4 linked regions of the Saccharomyces cerevisiae S288C genome follow. The protein of the gene in region 2 interacts with the protein of the main gene of each other region in a pairwise test. Each region holds a gene or a part of one and is shown on either strand. Other genes may lie near its edges.

What was found.
Region 1: the proteins of BZZ1 (region 2) and AIM21 interact in binary tests that used the Saccharomyces cerevisiae proteins (3 or more experiments, as listed by UniProt).
Region 3: the proteins of BZZ1 (region 2) and UBP7 interact in binary tests that used the Saccharomyces cerevisiae proteins (3 or more experiments, as listed by UniProt).
Region 4: the proteins of BZZ1 (region 2) and MUK1 interact in a two-hybrid assay, tested with the Saccharomyces cerevisiae proteins (one study listed by BioGRID).

What each region holds. Positions count from the first base shown.
Region 1 is NC_001141.2:358,923-363,510, forward strand, and holds AIM21 (Aim21p), read left to right. Parts: upstream 1-1,962; coding exon 1,963-4,002; downstream 4,003-4,588. Other genes in the region: MPH1 (3'-5' DNA helicase), read right to left, coding at 1-1,474; DJP1 (Djp1p), read left to right, coding at 4,299-4,588. UniProt on the Saccharomyces cerevisiae protein: Involved in mitochondrial migration along actin filaments.
Region 2 is NC_001140.6:336,157-340,484, forward strand, and holds BZZ1 (Bzz1p), read left to right. Parts: upstream 1-1,926; coding exon 1,927-3,828; downstream 3,829-4,328. Other genes in the region: APE4 (aspartyl aminopeptidase), read left to right, coding at 181-1,653; ubiquitin-conjugating protein DMA1, read right to left, coding at 3,953-4,328. UniProt on the Saccharomyces cerevisiae protein: Plays a role in endocytosis and trafficking to the vacuole. Functions with type I myosins to restore polarity of the actin cytoskeleton after NaCl stress.
Region 3 is NC_001141.2:45,965-51,806, reverse strand, and holds UBP7 (ubiquitin-specific protease UBP7), read right to left. Parts: upstream 3,717-5,842; coding exon 501-3,716; downstream 1-500. Other genes in the region: GUT2 (glycerol-3-phosphate dehydrogenase), read left to right, coding at 1-48; ATG44 (mitofissin), read right to left, coding at 3,834-4,046, 4,109-4,117; COA1 (Coa1p), read left to right, coding at 4,265-4,858; AIM20 (Aim20p), read right to left, coding at 4,992-5,606. UniProt on the Saccharomyces cerevisiae protein: Involved in the sorting of ubiquitinated cargo proteins at the multivesicular body (MVB).
Region 4 is NC_001148.4:418,743-423,286, forward strand, and holds MUK1 (guanine nucleotide exchange factor MUK1), read left to right. Parts: upstream 1-2,205; coding exon 2,206-4,044; downstream 4,045-4,544. Other genes in the region: putative ubiquitin-specific protease UBP16, read left to right, coding at 1-1,269; YPL071C (uncharacterized protein), read right to left, coding at 1,306-1,776; BTS1 (farnesyltranstransferase), read right to left, coding at 4,143-4,544. UniProt on the Saccharomyces cerevisiae protein: Putative GTPase-activating protein.

The sequences.
Region 1 (4,588 bases), on a different chromosome or scaffold from region 2:
CAAAACCTTCTTTTGCACGAGCTTGTCCAATAAAAATATGAGGCCTGATTTGATCGTCAGCTACCGAGTCTATGAACTTCACAATTTCAAGTGCGCTTTCTCTTAATTCTGTAAAAATAATAACCCTCGAGTCGGAACCCCTTTTCTGAAAAAAGTCCATTAGTTCATCTCTAACACATTGTAACTTCCCATGACCGACAAACTTTGGATCACTTAAATAATTTTCGCATTGATTTTTGATGTTTTTCAAAATCGGATGGTAATAAAACTCAGCTGCAATTTTATTAGTAGATTTTTTAAGATTATATTTCGTAGTGAATTCTGTACATTTATTCTGGAAGTAATTGAAAAATGTCCTTATTCCATAAATTTTTAATCTCTTTAGCATTTGACCCACATTGTTCAATAACTGTAAAATAAAGAAGTTCCTCCACTTAATTCCTTCAGGTATAGTAGGGTTAGCAATAATTTTTTGGCTTTGTTGCATGGCTTTGAAGGCGTTTATTTGTGAAGGGTCACATTCCTCATATATACCGAGTTCAATTGCCTGTTGAAGCACTGGTTTGACGGCCATACCTAATTGTTCGATTATGTCTTCAATTTCCAACAAAAGGGGCACTTCAATTTTTTCCTTTTTTCTTTTCTTCATATATTTCACGATATCCATGCTTTCTTCAGTCCTAATTTCAATCTTGGAAATATCTAAGTTATTAACCACTTCTTGGACACCTTCCAGGTCAGAGGCTGGTGTAGCGGTCAATGCTAATAATCTGTATGATGAATTGAACCTATCTATGAATTTTACCACATTTGTATACGCAGAGGAGCCAGTAGCTCTGTGAGCTTCATCGATGACAAGACATACAATATCCTTAGGATCCAATACACCCCTCTTCAAGTCATTCTCCACTACTTGCGGTGTGGCAAAGAAAACTCTCTTATTGGCCCAAATTTCTTCTCTATTTTTCCTGCTTTTATCGAGTAATATAGCAGTTTGATCCGAAGGTATTCCTGTTATACCTAAGCATGCCTTAATTTGCTGGGCTACCAAAGGTCTTGTTGGAGCAGTAAAGATTATTTTGGCTTTTTTGGTCCAACGAAAATAATTTAACATTACTGTACTGGCAATGAACGTTTTACCCATACCCGTTGGGATGGCGCATAACGTATTTTGAAACAGTGATTTGTGAACAATTGTATACTGATAATCCCTTACCTCGTAATTTGTAGGGTACACGTAGAACGACAAAGCATCGTAATCAAGCTCATGATGAGTGGGTCCAAAACTGACATCTCTTTGAATTTCTTCGTACACAGTTTTCTGCCCAGGTAAAACGTTATCATGAAGGTCTTTTTGAACTGGTACAGCACGTCTCGTTATAGTTTCCTTCACAGATTTATTGATAGCCTTTTCATACAGTTTATCCAGCTCGTCATCTTCGAAATCACTAAAGTAATCATCTGCACTAGCCATCAGAGAGAAAAAAGGACACTAAAATAAAACAGAACCGGAATGTGTTGAATAAAACTGAAGTGAGCTACTATATCTTGAATCACAATATCTTAGCTCCGTGATAGAGCATAGGGCACCTCTATTGATCTCTTCGTGATGCCCGGTTATATACACACGTAACCCCGTAAAAGCCGTTACCCGGTTTATGTCTTTCTGTGAGCACAGTAAGCTAGGAAGGTCGATGGAGAAGAAGACTCCTGTCTCATATGGAACAACCTTGCAAATTGAGTGCAATTATCCCCTTTGGAGTTTGAATTTTGTGTTAGTACATTCTCCTTTTTTAACTTGTCTTTTCTACCACATGCACAATGAAAGCAATCTTGTTTTACCAGGCGCGAAGCAAAAGAAAAGGAGAAATATTGAGTATATTTTAATTTAAGCTTTCTGATTTAGAAAGTATCATGTTTTGTTGGTGATCTAACAGGAAATCTATTTTGACCGATTATACAATGCCATCGGAAGTTACGCCAAAAGTACCTGAGAGGCCCTCAAGGAGGAAGACATCTGAGCTGTTTCCGTTATCCGGCTCTGAATCAGGAGATATTAAAGCTAATAGCGAGCCACCAACACCAGCAGGAACGCCCAATGTACCAACACGTAGACCCATACTTAAAGCAAAGACGATGACTTCGTTTGAGAGTGGTATGGATCAAGAGAGTTTGCCCAAGGTACCATTGCAGAGGCCAGTTAGACGCTCCACTACTGAAGAACTAAATAATGTAATGAATAACACCAGTAAGGAGTTAGAGGAGATTGAAAGTTTGATTTCAAAGCACAATATACACAATGTTTCCAGGAAAAAAAGTCCAACTTCTGTGGAAGAGGGAAAGGTGGCCGCCATTCATCAAAACGGGCAAAGAAGTGCATCAGATAACAAAACTTCTACAAATCCCTCCCCACTCGAAAAAAATGAGCACGAGGGTGCTGAGGGCAATGAGTCTGCTATTTCACCTTCTAATTTAGTTAACAAGTCTAATAATGAAGTGACAGAGCATAGTGACTCCGAAGACCTTACTGAAAAGCAAAAGGTACATGCTGCCCTAGATAATGAGGCAGGGGATAGAAGCCATTTTGAAGAAAAGCTCATTCCTGGAGATATGAAAGTACAGGTAGATGTTAGTAAGGACGTAGAAGAAGGCAGCCTCAATGCTCTGCCTCCATCTGGAATCACAGAATCAGACGACAAAGCTGAAAAGTTCACTAAACATCCTGAATCTAGTTTAGAAGAGCTACAGAAGCATCAAGAACAACAGGAAGAAAAAATTTTCCAAAATCCAACCGATGAAGAAAGTACTACCTCTTTGAATGAGAAACAAGAAGGCAAGGACAACATGGAAGTGAATTCTCAGCCGCAAGGACCTTCTGATACTGAAACAGTTATAGCAGCAACTAGCTCAAACGTTCCTTCACAAATTGCAAGTGAAGAGGAAAATGACGTTCCAGTGATTCCAAGGAGTAGGCCTAAGAAGGATTTTGAAGCACACGTACAAAAAGAGGAGTTGCCTAACACACAAGAGAAGCGAGTATCAGAAGAGTGTGATTCGACCCTAATTAGTACCGAAGAGGAAAGTAAAATCCCAAAAATTCCCTCTGAAAGACCAAAGAGACGTGCCCCACCTCCGGTTCCCAAAAAACCTTCTTCAAGAATTGCGGCCTTTCAAGAAATGTTACAAAAACAACAGCAACAAGATCTGCATAATAATGGTAATTCTTCAGCTACTACCGCTTCAGCAGATATTGCTAAAAAACACACAGATTCTTCTATTACTAGCGATACCACGAAGGCAGATTTTACGAGCAAATTGAATGGACTGTTTGCGCTACCTGGTATGGTGAACCCTGGACAGCTTCCACCTTCCTTGGAGAAGAAGTTGTCCTCCCCGGATACTGAATCTAAGCTAGGACCCCAGGACCAATCACAGGCAAAAACGGGACCTCTGGGCGGAACTAGAAGAGGTAGAGGACCTCGTGGGCGTAAATTACCTTCTAAAGTAGCTAGCGTAGAGAAGATTGAAGAAGATGACAACACTAATAAAATAGAAATATTTAACAATTGGAATGTTTCCTCTTCCTTCTCTAAGGAAAAAGTCTTAATAGATACTACTCCTGGTGAGCAAGCAGAAAGGGCCTTGGATGAAAAGTCAAAGAGCATTCCCGAGGAACAACGAGAACAATCTCCAAATAAGATGGAGGCTGCTCTTTGTCCTTTTGAGCTGGACGAAAAGGAAAAGTTACCTGCTAATGCTGAGTCGGATCCTCTTTCTCAGTTGCCACAGACGAACGCCGTAGGTAATAGAAAAGCCATAAGTGAGGAATCTCTGTCCCCATCGGAGGCCATCGCCAACAGAGATCAAAACGATACGACAGAAATACAGGAACAGCAGATGGAGGACCAAATGGAGGTTGATATGGAAAGAGAACTCTCAGGTGGCTACGAAGACGTTGATTCTGCCTTACATTCAGAAGAAGCGTCTTTTCACTCCCTTTAGAATCTTATAAATAATATGTATGAATAAACTCTATAGTATGTATCAAGAGAGAAATATGTGAATGACGAGCAAACTAGAGGTGTTATTAATAATAATGGCATAAAAACTAGATTTTATTCTATATATATATATATATATTTCTTCGACTTTTTTTTTTTTTACCCGCACACCCTGAATTTTGTGCTATTTTGAAGCAGAGCGTACTGAACAAATTGGCAGATTTACAAGAGGAATAACAGAGTTATGCTAAATCATTAAGTGTTTCTTGCGGCCAGAAGGGGCATTATACAAAAGATATGGTTGTTGATACTGAGTATTACGATTTGTTAGGTGTGTCTACCACTGCATCTTCCATTGAAATAAAAAAGGCCTATAGAAAGAAATCTATTCAAGAGCATCCTGATAAGAATCCCAATGACCCCACGGCTACCGAAAGGTTTCAAGCAATATCCGAAGCTTATCAAGTTTTAGGTGACGATGATCTTCGCGCAAAGTATGATAAGTATGGAAGAAAAGAAGCTATTCCTCAGGGCGGCTTTGAAGATGCAGCTGAACAGTTCTCTGTCATCTTTGGTGGAGATGCGTT
Region 2 (4,328 bases):
TGGCTACGGTTTTCTATTCCTTATCATTTTAGCCTTATCATACTTGCTGAAAAGTTGCAGATATCTCCACGCTCTTAAATGAAAGAAAAAAGGGCGTTTTCCTCCTGTATGAATGAAAGAAAAAATTCATGTTATGTGAGCAAGTAGGTAAAAAGAAAGAATAAAAGGTTCAGCTTTTCTATGTTCAGGATACAACTGAGAACTATGTCCAGCAAAACATGCAAGAGTGATTACCCAAAGGAGTTTGTCAGTTTCTTAAATAGCTCACACTCTCCTTACCATACAGTTCATAACATCAAAAAGCATCTGGTGTCAAATGGCTTCAAAGAGTTGAGCGAACGTGACTCGTGGGCTGGCCACGTCGCACAAAAAGGAAAGTACTTTGTGACAAGAAATGGCTCTTCCATTATTGCGTTTGCTGTTGGTGGAAAGTGGGAGCCTGGTAATCCAATTGCCATTACGGGTGCTCACACCGACTCCCCCGCATTAAGGATTAAGCCTATTTCTAAAAGAGTCAGTGAGAAGTATTTACAAGTGGGCGTGGAAACTTATGGTGGCGCTATTTGGCATTCATGGTTTGATAAGGATTTGGGCGTTGCCGGAAGAGTTTTCGTAAAGGATGCGAAAACTGGCAAATCCATTGCTAGATTGGTGGATTTGAATAGACCTCTGTTAAAGATTCCTACTTTGGCTATTCATCTGGACAGAGACGTAAATCAAAAATTCGAGTTTAATAGAGAAACTCAACTGTTGCCGATTGGTGGTCTGCAAGAAGACAAAACTGAAGCGAAAACTGAAAAGGAAATTAATAACGGTGAGTTTACCTCCATAAAAACGATAGTACAGAGGCATCACGCAGAACTTTTGGGGCTAATAGCCAAAGAACTCGCCATTGATACAATTGAAGACATTGAAGACTTCGAATTGATCCTTTATGATCATAATGCATCCACTCTAGGTGGGTTCAACGATGAGTTTGTCTTCTCTGGTCGATTGGATAATTTGACATCTTGTTTCACATCAATGCACGGTTTAACGTTGGCGGCTGACACAGAAATTGACCGAGAATCAGGCATTAGATTGATGGCATGCTTTGATCATGAGGAGATTGGCTCATCCTCCGCCCAAGGGGCAGATTCTAACTTCTTGCCTAATATATTGGAAAGGTTGTCCATCCTGAAGGGGGACGGTTCTGATCAAACTAAACCTTTGTTTCACTCGGCAATATTGGAAACTTCCGCTAAGTCGTTTTTCCTTTCATCTGATGTTGCTCATGCAGTTCATCCAAACTATGCAAACAAATACGAAAGCCAACACAAACCCTTATTGGGTGGTGGTCCCGTAATCAAGATTAACGCGAATCAACGTTACATGACCAATTCACCAGGGTTGGTCTTGGTGAAAAGACTAGCAGAGGCTGCTAAAGTCCCTTTGCAATTGTTTGTCGTAGCTAACGACTCACCATGCGGTTCTACCATCGGCCCCATTTTGGCCTCAAAGACAGGTATTAGAACTCTAGACTTGGGTAATCCTGTGTTGAGTATGCATTCGATTAGAGAGACCGGTGGCTCTGCAGACCTGGAGTTCCAAATCAAGTTATTTAAGGAATTTTTTGAACGCTACACTTCCATAGAATCTGAAATTGTTGTCTAAACTGCAATTGTTAGATGATTCATAATCCGGTATATTTATTGCCCTCTTTTGTATTTTACAAATAGTAAATATATATAATATCTTGTGATCTACATAAGCTTTCGCGGGGTCTTCAGAAAAATAAAAAGTTTTTAAAAGAATATACGCTTAGCAAAGGAATAGACAGATTTAGTTTGTACGCAAATAGTTTTTGAAGAAGGTAGCAGATTGATCAATTTTGTATGAGCGGAAATCTATCCTTAAACGCCAACTACTACATTACTTGCAATAAAAATGAGTGCAGATTTATCGATTGGTAATGAAATTAAAGATTCATTTAAGGAAACCCATAAATGGGTCCAAAATAACTTAAAATGGTTGAAGGACATTGAGCAATTTTATCGGGAAAGGGCTAAGTTAGAAAAAGACTACAGCGAGAGATTATCTCGCTTATCAGCAGAGTACTTTAATAAGAAGTCTTCGACCTCAGTTCCTATCTCGGTAGGTGACACACCTACTACCACGCCAGGGTCCATTGAAGCTGCAGGTGTGGTTGCATGGAATGAAATTCTATCTCAGACTGATATGATTTCCAAGGATCATGATCAGTTATCAACCGACTTTGAAAATCATGTAGCAAATCAATTGAGTGGATTATTCACTAAACTTGATATGACTTTGAGCAAGATAAATGGATTTAACAATGACATGGTTAATAAAAAGGATAACATTTACCACGAACTGGAAAAAGCGAAGAAGGACTATGATGAAGCCTGTTCCACTATGGAAATGGCAAGAAATAGGTATACCAAGGCATCTAATGATAGAAATAAAAAGAAGTTGGATGAAAAAGAAATGGAGATGAACAAGTGTAAAAATGAATATTTAATCAAGATCAACCAGGCAAATAGAACTAAGGATAAATACTATTTTCAAGATGTTCCTGAAGTGCTAGATCTTCTACAAGACGTAAATGAGGCAAAGACCCTTTTCTTAAATGATCTGTGGTTGAAGGCGGCTTCTGTCGAGAACGATCTGGGTGCAAATGTCAGCAAAAGACTCCAGGCGGCAAATTCTGTTGTCAAGCAGAATAAACCCTCTTTAAACACGGCCATCTTTATCAAGCACAATCTAAAGAATTGGAAAGAACCACAAGACTTTGTCTATAAGCCATCTCCAGTATGGCATGATGATGAAAAATTTGCTGTTCCCTCGTCGTTGGAAGTTGAAGACTTGAGAATAAAACTGGCAAAAGCAGAAAATGATTACAATTCATTGCAAGATAAAACTCAAAATGAGTTATCCAAACTGTCTACTTTGAACAAGATAAAGCACGAAATGAAAACTAATGAAGATAATATCAATGCCACTAAGTTTTATGATACACTAAAGGAATACTTAAATGTCGTTTCACCCTTTACCTCACACGAAACATTAAAATTGCAAGCCGAAGTTCAAATCGAAAGTATTCAGAATAATGTTCCTGAAGAATACGATTTATCCACAGACAATATTGATCTTTCCAAAACAAAGAAGAAATCCGGGATATTCAGTAAGTTCAAACACAACATCCTGAACGTCGACTCGAAGCCTTCGAGTGGAGGGAGCACTGGTAATGGCAACGGAGGACCCTTGCATATAACAAGTCTCTTCAACACATCAAGAAGAACTAGGCTAGGCTCTGCCCCTAACAACGCTGGTGAAGATTCAGATAATAATTCTATACGCACCACTAGTACCAACAATACAAAAAAGACCACACAAAATTCCAGTGATGACGGCAAGAATAAAGTGTTGTATGCATACGTACAAAAGGATGATGACGAAATCACCATTACGCCAGGAGACAAAATCTCTTTGGTTGCACGCGATACGGGTTCTGGATGGACTAAGATAAATAACGACACCACTGGGGAAACCGGCCTTGTACCCACCACATATATTCGCATATCTAGCGCGGCTACAGTTAAAGCAAATGATAGAGGCCCTGCACCAGAAGTACCACCACCAAGAAGGAGTACACTACCTGTTAGGACGATGGAGGCCATATATGCCTACGAAGCACAGGGAGATGATGAGATTTCAATTGATCCGGGGGACATAATTACTGTTATCAGAGGCGATGACGGTAGCGGGTGGACATATGGTGAATGTGACGGATTGAAAGGTCTATTTCCTACAAGTTACTGTAAATGAACGAAGGAATGAACTGAAACTATTAAATATTTTCCCTGGCCGCCACTTTTTTGAGAGGTATGACGACTCTATGTTATATATATATATATATATATATATATATATAGCACAAAATTTCATGTGATCAATCTACTAGGCGAACACCTAAATTGTTATTTATTTCCATGTCTATATCCATTTCAATGTCTGGCTCATCTTCGTCCTCGTTTTCGAATTCGGATTCAGATTCGGATTCCAAGGTAGTCTCCAAATCACAGTTTGTCCTACAGTTCGGACACATGAATTGAGGATAATTCATAATAACCAATCTTCTTACACAATGAAAATGCCAACTATGGGCACATGGTGATATAAAAATGGCTTGGCAAGGTTTTATTTTGTTTAGACAAATGGAACAGTCTTCTTGTTCTAAACCAGTAGTTAGTTTCTGTAGATTTTTTATTCGGCTCAAGGCTTCTTTATTAAATGCATTGGCCTTTAATTTCCAAGACTTGTTCAAT
Region 3 (5,842 bases), on a different chromosome or scaffold from region 2:
TGGGAACTTGAAAAAACTGTGAACTTCATCAAGACGTTTGGTGTCTAAATCGATCATGATAGTTAAGGGTGACAAAGATAACATTCACAAGAGTAATAATAATGGTAATGATGATAATAATAATAATGATAGTAATAACAATAATAATAATGGTGGTAATGGCAATGAAATCGCTATTATTACCTATTTTCCTTAATGGAAGAGTTAAAGTAAACTAAAAAAACTACAAAAATATATGAAGAAAAAAAAAAAAAGAGGTAATAGACTCTACTACTACAATTGATCTTCAAATTATGACCTTCCTAGTGTTTATATTCTATTTCCAATACATAATATAATCTATATAATCATTGTGTAGACTTCCGTTTTAATATCGTTTTAATTATCCCCTTTATCTCTAGTTTTATCATAAAATATAGAAACACTAAATAATATTCTTCAACGTCCTGGTGCATACGCAATACATATTTATGGTGCAAAAAAAAAAATGCAAAATTTTGCTAGTCATAAACCCTTTCATAAAACAATACGTAGACATCGCTACTTGAAATTTTCAAGTTTTTATCAGATCCATGTTTCCTATCTGCCTTGACAACCTCATCGTCGAAATAGTACCATTTAGAACGCCCAATATTCACATTGTGTTCAAGGTCTTTATTCACCAGTGACGTGTAATGGCCACTGATTAATGTGCCTGTATGGTTAACCACTCCAAATAGCTTATATTTCATAGTGTCATTGTTTTTCAATATAATGTTTAGTATCAATGGATATGTTACGACGGTGTTATTTTTCTTGGTCAAATCGTAATAAAATCTCGATAAATGGATGACTAAGATTTTTGGTAAAGTTACAAAATTTATCGTTTTCACTGTTGTCAATTTTTTGTTCTTGTAATCACTCGAGTTGTTACTATCATTACCACCAGTACTGAACGGTGTACTGGAACTGGACCTCTTCCCACTACCACCCAACATCCTGAAGGGTGATCTGGACCTTTCTCGTTCAAAGATTGTCGTATTATTATTATTGCTATTATGGCCCTCAGTAATACCGTCTCCAAAAAAGTCGAGATGACGACGCTTGGTTCCTGTATGTAATGTAAAAAACCGACTTTTTTTCTTTTTACTCTTAACAATGGATGGCTCATTCTCTAATGCAGACACAGATGTAGACACAGACGCCGTGGGGCCACAGCGTGGGCAATCCCATGCATTTTCACCAGAGAGTACCTCATCGCTTGTAAACATATTAATACAATCCTCTAACTTAACTCTTTTCTCAGTAGACCTACCAAGTTTACTCAACTTCATGGAACGTCTTGGTATAGCCAGTGATAAAACATAAAATGTGCTATAGTTGAAAGTAGTGTAACCGCACCTTTTACATTGTAAGCTGTTCTCCATTTGCCCTTGAAAAATGTCATCAATAGGAGATATACCATTACCAATGACATTTTTGTCAAACCAGTGCTTATATTCGTTGTTTGAAACCTTTAGGGCATCTGCATTATACAATAATAAATTCGGATAATCGTTCGCTACATGCTGTTGGTCGGAAAGTTCATCGTGTAACCTGTCTAAAAGTATCATTAGGAACTCTTGGGTATCCTGTTGGTCATCAGGAATTTTCAAATCGGGACGCAATTGATTGATAACTTTGAGAAATCCTGTTGGGACAACTGAGCAACCACCATTTAGATACATCTTGTTGAAGAGCATACTTAGTGAATTCGAAAGTTTAGGAGAATAATGAGATCCGTTGCTCCTTATTGGTTGCAGATAGCTCTTATATTTGGATGAAATGAAGAGTGTCCGGAATGTTTTCGCAGCGAATAGACATTGTATCATACTATTAATGTAACATGTATTGCCCAAATTTCTTAGTCCCGTGATGGACAACGAAACGTATACGTTTGGACTGCGTTCAATAGTTGGAATATTGTACGCCCTTTGCGGTTGTAATATTTGTTGGTCGTAATGCTGATGCTGGTGCTGTCTTTTTCTTTGAATAATTTCATTGGAGTTAAGTTGTTCCTTTTTGACATGCTGCTTTGCTGGTATTGGCGGCTTTCGAGAGATAGAACTGACTTGTGAATGAACCATTATCTTAGGGGGCAGAGGAGGTGGAATTTCTGGGGTTGTGGGCATTGATACAGGCGGTGGAGGTGGAGGACGTTTCCTTAACCTTATAGGCAGGTCAGGGGGCTTCCAGGAGGGAGGCTCAGGAACTTTTGTAGATGATTCCTTAGCGGAAAAAGAGTCCTGAGAATCCGGCTGCTGCTGCTGCTGCTGCTGCTCCTGTTGTAAGCGCGCCTTCTGTGAGTAAGGTCTGTACAAGTAATCTTCAATAGAGATATGATACTCCTGGGCATACGAATGCAGAGTTTTCTTCCATTTTTCGTACCCACCTAAGAGGGTAGTAGGTACAGTTGTTAAAGGAGTCTTCTGAGAAGTCAGCATCAAATAAAAAAAAATAAATGCATAATCAAAATTTATAGTCATGAAGGTCTTCACATCAGTATAGTAAACAATGTAATCAAATTTATTACGGTTTATAAAATTCTCATTCTCCTTCAGTAAATGTTCCAATATGTCATCCTTGTAGATAGGTGTGTTCGTCTGCTTGTCCCACAACAAGTTTGGATCCACATTCACTAAGTTCGGAGCCACAATGTGATTTATTGCAGATCTTTGTGGTATTCTCAAGTCGATGAGTAAAACCTTTTCACGTTCAACGCGATTCGATAAAATACTAAACAATTCTGGTGCTGTGATTATACTCTGCTTTTGTAAAATATCCAAACTCTGGATGAAGCCATCATTCTCAACGTTGAACAGATCATCATTGTCTTCCTTGAGGTTGCCGCTATCCACCATATAAACAGAATGGTAAGAATCCTTTCGATGAGTTACTGATCTATCTGCGGTTATTTCTCGAAATGGTGGGTTCAAAGATGCGAAACTAGTGTCATCCTCGTGGTATATGGAGGGTACATCTTCCAATAAAACAGATGGTCTCACTGGAACACTTGTCTTTCTTTCAGGCTCACGAAAAGCTGGCGTTGGTATCACTTCGGGCAATAAAGCCAGTTTCAATTGGTCGTTGGGCTCTAAGTTTGGTGCTGTCCAAACAGGTGAAGATTGTTCTGCGTCGTCTTCAGTAAACGTGCCTTTGAGGCCATGATCTTGCGGTGCCGCGGTGTCAAGTGATAGTGAAGCTACCTGACCTGAAAGATCGTCAGCTGGAACTGAAAATGCCCTCTTCTTGGTGATTCTGTGCTCAATACCGGCCCCGTGTTTAACCGATTCATCTAGGACCACACCGATTTCTTTCTTCACCATAAGCACAACATTGGTCATGTTCATTTCATTCTCATACATCTTTTTTAGATCTGTATAGATGCTGTAGGACTTGTTTCGTGTTTGGAACTGCAAAGATTGTGGAATAATTAAGAACACGTAGTAGCATCCAATGATAAACGCTGTCAGTGCATCGTTGGGCCTATCGTGATGGATTGAATCTAGATATAACTCGAATAGGTACTCTGTATGCTCCAGAAGGTCCAGCAGCTTCTCCAGTTTTAGCTGCGGATAGTAGTGCTTGATATCTTCGTGGTACAGGTCCTGGACCCTTCGCAGTAATTCATTTGAGTACTCAGGCGTGAACGGCGTTATATGTGGATGCATGGCCGTGCCCTTATCATCGTCTAGCATTTAAAGTTCTATGCGTAATCGATAGCGATAGCTCTTTAAGTTGCGGTTATTAATTTTGGCCCCCGGCTGGGTGCCGTTATACAAAATATTATCAACATATATAGAATATAAACGTACCTATTTCCTAGCGAAATACGTCGAGGAGCCACAAGTGGCAACAGAATAGTCGTATACAGACTCTCCCAAGTTCAAGTACCGCTTCATGTAGTTTCTCATAGTCTGATTGTCCAGAGTCTCCAGTTTAGGCGTCAAACCTGTATTGCGTTTAATCCCCGCGAGGCACGTTGATACCAAGACCAAATCTATGGATATGTGTACTAGTTTCCCTACCTAACCAATTTCTCTTGTTAGTATTACCGGATGCGTTGTTAGTAGCTCATTTGGGTACTTACTAATGTCATCTCTTTGCGTTTTGCTTGTTCTTGTTTTGATCATTGTGGAGAGAAAGAAAGCGCCTTCTTGTCATTTTAATCCCAGTTTTAAAACAGTTCGATCTTTCTCTCCGTACCAGTCCACGACATAAAAGTAAAAGATAAAACAGACTATACATGATGTTAAGACTAGTAACTAAAGGGTTGCCGAAAGTGACACCTTCTGCAGCTAAGGCTGTGCTAGTGCGTGGTTCCTTGCTGCACTCATTCTCTACCAGCGCTAGATTCAATAATAGTGTCGCTGAAGATGAGGCCAAGATCGTTTTGAAAGACAAGAACAGGCCATTGAGAATTGACAGAGAATTGCCTGACCCAACCACGGAGAGGAGAAAGCGAATAGCTGGATTTTTGTTGTTTTCTGTGGCCATTGGGTCCGCACTATCTTTGATCTTCAACTATGAAAAGACGGAGTCCCCCATTATCTCCAACACGCTGTATTATATAAGACGGTCTCCAGCAACTAAAAACATACTGGGTGAGAGCATAGAATTTGATGGTATCATCCCTTGGGTCTACGGTGAACTGAACTCTGTGAAGGGTAGGATTAACATTACGTTTTATATCAAGGGGGACAAAAACGTTACTGGAACCGTTAGACTGGTTGCCGATAGGAACACTCACGACGAAGAGTTTTTGATTCATGAATGGAGCGTCACTGCCGCTGGCCAAAAGATCGATTTGCTAGCTGAAAATACCAAGACACCAATTTAATAGCAAGTATGGTGCTATTTGTCTGTAAATATCCTTTATTATTATTTTATTTTTATCGTTATTACAAGTGGTCTGGGTATCTATACAAATGCAAAACTATGTAGGTACGTTTATATATCTATATGCATATATATTAGTGTGGCCGTAAGCTGTCAATAAATTCTCTCTTGTTGACAGTATAATTCGTAAAATCGTTTTCATATGGGTCATCCAGTTTTATTTCTTCGTGTAACGCAGTATTTTCTGTGCTCGATGACAAGTTTGACGTAGAAGCTGATCTCAAACTACTCGTTTCTTTGCGCGATAGCGTCAGTGGATACATAAAACTATAGGAAGGATCTCTGACCATCCCATAATTCACCTTTTCGCCGCTGAAAATGACGGGGACATTGGTATATGCAGTGCTCTGCTTTTTTGGACGCAAAGTCCCCATACTAGCGTTCAATTGCCTTCTGTATGCTGGTGTGTACCCTGCCTTGGCGGTTTTTTCTTGGCAGGGTTTAAGATCCTGGTTTGCTTCCTTTTCGTTTATCGTGGAAGCTTCACTTGAGCTGTTAATTTCGGCTTTAAAACCATCATATACCGACACTGCCACTTCTTCCATTACCATCTTCTCCAAATCAGCATCTCTAATCTCTTCTTTTTTGTAACGTCGTTGTAATTTACACCAAAATATCAGGGCTATTATTACGCCCACAGCAATTGGAATCCCAACTGCCGTTCCCACTGCCACAGACACATTGCCCATCTTTATTCAATAGTCTGTTTTGATGATTGAAAAGTAGATTGTTTTGAGCTAAAAATTCGATGCTTTCTGTGCTTATTTTGAAATTTATTAATGAATCTGTCCATCTCCAAATCTTAGTTCTTAACTAGGAAATTTGTCAACACGACCACCGCCCGAAAAGGGAAAATATTTCCCTTTTGAGAAGCGATTGCGAATATTGTCCATTTCTTTATATAAGCTCCACAACTACATAAAAT
Region 4 (4,544 bases), on a different chromosome or scaffold from region 2:
GTAGAATATTTGAAACGGATAAGAACGGTCCTTCTAGAATTAGAAACTAAGCTGTCAAATAATGCAAAAGGCGACAATCCTACAGTTGATAACACTACAAGGCATAGTCGACTTGAAAACTCGTCTAATTCACTTGCCCCCTTACACGAAAGTCTTACCAGTTTAATTTTGGATTTGATATCTGTAAAAGATCGTAAGACGTCAATTTCTCCGAAAATAGTGATAAACACATTAGAGTCCATCTTTAAATCAAAGATCTCATCCAAACAAAATGATGCACATGAATTTACATTAATATTACTACAAACATTACAGGAAGAACGATCAAAATTGATCGATTACAGTAAACAGATATGTAATTTGAATATACCAAAGTTTCCATTTGAGGGCGAGACTTCCAAGTTTCTAGTATGCCTTAAATGCAAGGGTCTATCAGAACCATCATACAAACAGACTTTCATCCGCGAACTGTCCGTACCACAACAAACATCAGAGAATCTATCCAATATTCTAGCACACGATGAAACAGAAATCATAGACGACTATTCATGCCTGATCTGCCAAATAAGAGCAATCTTAAACCATGAAGAATATAGAAATTTCAAGGACTGTACCCCGGATGAAATTTTAATGTTGGACAGATTGAAAAATTATGCCACTAAAGCCCCAATTAACGAAAATTTACCATTCGAAGTAGAACAGTACGTCAAGCGTTACTCAAAGGGCAATTTGCAGGTATCTAATATAAAGGGAAAGGTCATCAAAAAAGATGTAGTAGTACAACTGCCAGACATATTAATTGTTCACTTATCGAGATCCACATTCAATGGTATTACATATTCTAGAAATCCCTGCAATGTCAAATTTGGAGAAAGAATAACACTTTCTGAATATACATTGGCTGAGAGTGGGACAATAACAGAAAACAGGCAAGTCAAATATAATTTGAAAAGTGTTGTGAAACACACCGGTTCTCATTCGAGTGGACACTATATGTGTTACAGACGCAAGACTGAAATTCGTTTCGGGAAGGAGGATGAATCTTCCTTCAGAAGAGCACCAGTTGTCAACAATGAAGTTAACAAGAATCGCGAGCAAAACGTTGCACATAATGATTACAAAAAAAGCAGATATAAAAAAGTCAAAAACGCCCTGCGGTATCCTTATTGGCAAATATCTGATACCGCCATAAAGGAATCTACCGCTTCAACTGTCTTGAATGAACAGAAATATGCTTATATGCTATACTACGAACGTGTAAATAAATAACCGCCCTGTACATAGGTATATTATAATAATAGTAAGTTACGCATCCATATCCACATCAGTATCCACTGCCATCATTTCAACATCGGTATCAGCCTCTCCATCATAAGTGTATTTCGAAGTCATTTGATTATGGAACCACTTCCACCAGCTTAGATAAGCAATTTCCTTATAATCTACCCATTTTATTATTTGTAGCCTTTTTTCTCTCAAACGTTCCCATATTTTGTCATAAAACAAGTCATTGTCGCCGCGTTTACTTGTGGAACACTTGATGATCTCTTTCAGGACCTTATCATCAATAGCGTCTGTGAATACTATATTGTTATGAATAAGATTGTTATCATCTGCATGTCCGTTCTTGGGCCCTTTATCATTTAAGGATAAATTCTCTAAATCTATAATTAGTCTTTTTCTTTTATAATTATCAATTCCTATTGGGTCTGGAGAATGATTTCTTTTCCTAATGTGGTTGGGATTGCCATTACTTCTTGCAAACCGGGAACTCATGGAATGAAAAAGTCATTTAAACGTGCCACTAGTTTTACTATCTGCTAATCGTTCTAGACGTGTAATATAAATCATATCCGAGCGCCGTTGTTGAATAATTTAATGCCTTCGTATTACATACATTTTGAAATTTGCTTTCGTAAAAGAGCGGTTCCCGGATAAAAAAGTGTGCAAATAACCGAGCCTTATTTGATTTCCAGTAAAGACCCAACCAAACGCATCATTGAAGCAAAAATAGATTAAAACTTACTGTTGTTCGTCTATTGAATTTTGTTCGGATTGGTGTGGTGTTTAATATCTTGGGCAGAAAGAGAATTGGCTTTATAGACACTCATAAAATCATCATTCCCCTTAGAGCAAAAGGTATTTTTAGAAGCCAAGAAGAAGAGCAGATAAAAAAGAAGTACGCCCTCTAACAATAAAAGTCAAATGGCTAGACAATTATTCACTCCTCCGATAACCAATCCAAGGTTTGACCCTAATCAATCCATCAGGGAATCATACAAGAACACAACTGGCGGCATGCAATTTCAACAAAATCTACATGAGGATCAAAATGACAATGAGAGAAGTAGCTGTGATGGTGATGAAAACTCTACAACAGGAGAAAGGCTAGAAAACAATAAGTCTCCTATATTGACAAAACAAGAAATTGACGAAGCGTTGAACACTGTCACCAATTTACCTCCAGAATTATCAAAATTAATTGACATTTTTATTGATGACCTAAAGCAGCCAAAGTACGTACGGCCACTATCAGTACTGCAATTGTCTAGTCTTTTCCAAAGCTTTTACATAAAATTTGATAAAGCATCATTCCAGCACGTCAGTTCAGCGAATAATAATGGCTATTATTTTTCTGGCGGGGGCTCTAGTTCATTCTTGGCTGCCAAAGAAACGTTAAGTAGTGGTCTTAGCGGAATTTTTGGCAGAAGTAGGAGTAGTAGTGGAAATTCACTTATGAGGCCAAGAAGATCTTCATCGCTTTTCAGTAATGAGTCAATATCAAATTCAACTAATGCCACACAAATGTTGTCACCTGAAGAGATAAAAAAGCAATTGAAAATCAACGAATTAAACAACATGAAAATCGAAAAATATATGGAACTTTGTGAAAGAGATGTTTTTAAGAAAATTCTTATAGTAGGCACATCCGTATCTTCACCGAATAAAATGAAAACCTTCAAACCACACCAATTACAAACTTTCAAGGTTGGAAATCTATTTAGAAACAGTGTTGAATTCACAGAATACAATAAGTTGTTGAATGAAAAAATCCTCTGTTTGTCCAAACTCTCAACAATGAATAAAATCAATTTGATAAAGTTTCTGAGTCTTAATAATGGCATTGATCCGGAACCAAAGTTTGAAGAGATCAAAGATATTTTATATGAGTTTACTTATCATTCGATTTCACCATGTGAAAAGATAAAGGCCCTACTGAAACTACATGAAATCATGACATATTCCCAAGAAATGTCTAATGATGATTATCTTTCGTTGCTAATCTACTACATTATTACGATTGTTCCACGGGATATTTTCTTGAATGCCGAATTCATCAGGCTGTTCAGATATAAGAAAAAGCTGGTCGAAACAGAATCCTTTGCATTAACCAATCTAGAAGCTGCATTAGTTTTTGTTGAAGGCTTAACCAAAAATGATTTTTCAAATGAGCTACAAGATAAATTGACTGTAAATGAAAGTAAAATTTTAGAAAATTCAATCAGCAGTAGAGTCTCATTGCCATCAAAAACTGCTATAATGCATAAAAACAACGGTAATAACGGCAGTAACCTAGGTGACATCGTGACTCCTACTATCCAAAGGCCAGATGTTACAAGATCGAATTCGTATGATGGCTTCAGGACCGTTTTTGATTCATCATTAAAAAATATCATCGGAAAAATTAGGTCATATACTCCACCACATCCTAACAATACTAGCAATAATAACCTTCACAGTAGCAACAACTTAAACATACCACGAAGTTCGTCTCAATTATCCATGGAATTGAGCAATAGAGATACAACAGAGATGTCTAGGGATGGCTCACGATCAACTTCATCATCTTCACGATCTTCAGCATCTTTAGAGCACGGAAATCGCGAATTTACCGGCGATTTGACAGTAACCGCTAGCATTAACGGTGCTGATAAAAAGGAGTTTCAGAAATCGTGGAAAAAATATAAAGGCTATAAATTTGAAGATTTGACTATTTGCGAACTAAGAGATCTTTTTGAGATATATCAAAAGATGATGCAATGAAACGTATATATGAAATCGTATGTATAGATGCGAAAGAGGAGGAGAGAAGGCTTTATTTCTGACTATCTTCCTCCACTAATTTGATTGATCAATTTATTTCACAATTCGGATAAGTGGTCTATTATATATAACAATTCGTCATGTAAATTGGTGGCGGTGTCGGAATGCGAAGCCAAATCAGGTAAATACTTATTTTCATTATCATTTTTTATCATATTCACTAATTGATTAATAAAATTTTTGGTGTAGGCCAATGAATTGGTGTCGAATTCCAGTATTTGAATCAGCTTTAGTTTTATATCTTTATCACTTGTCCTCAACAGGAGAATTCTTAGAATTTCATTGTGTTGCTCAGTTTGACCTTTCGTTTTAGTGAAGTTAAGGGCGTGGACGATGGGAAAAGATAACTTCCCCTCTGTAATGTCCTCAGCAAAGCCTTTTTCGCTGGACATTTGGAAATCTTTCAAATTCAAGTAATCATCTCTAATCTGATAAATAAT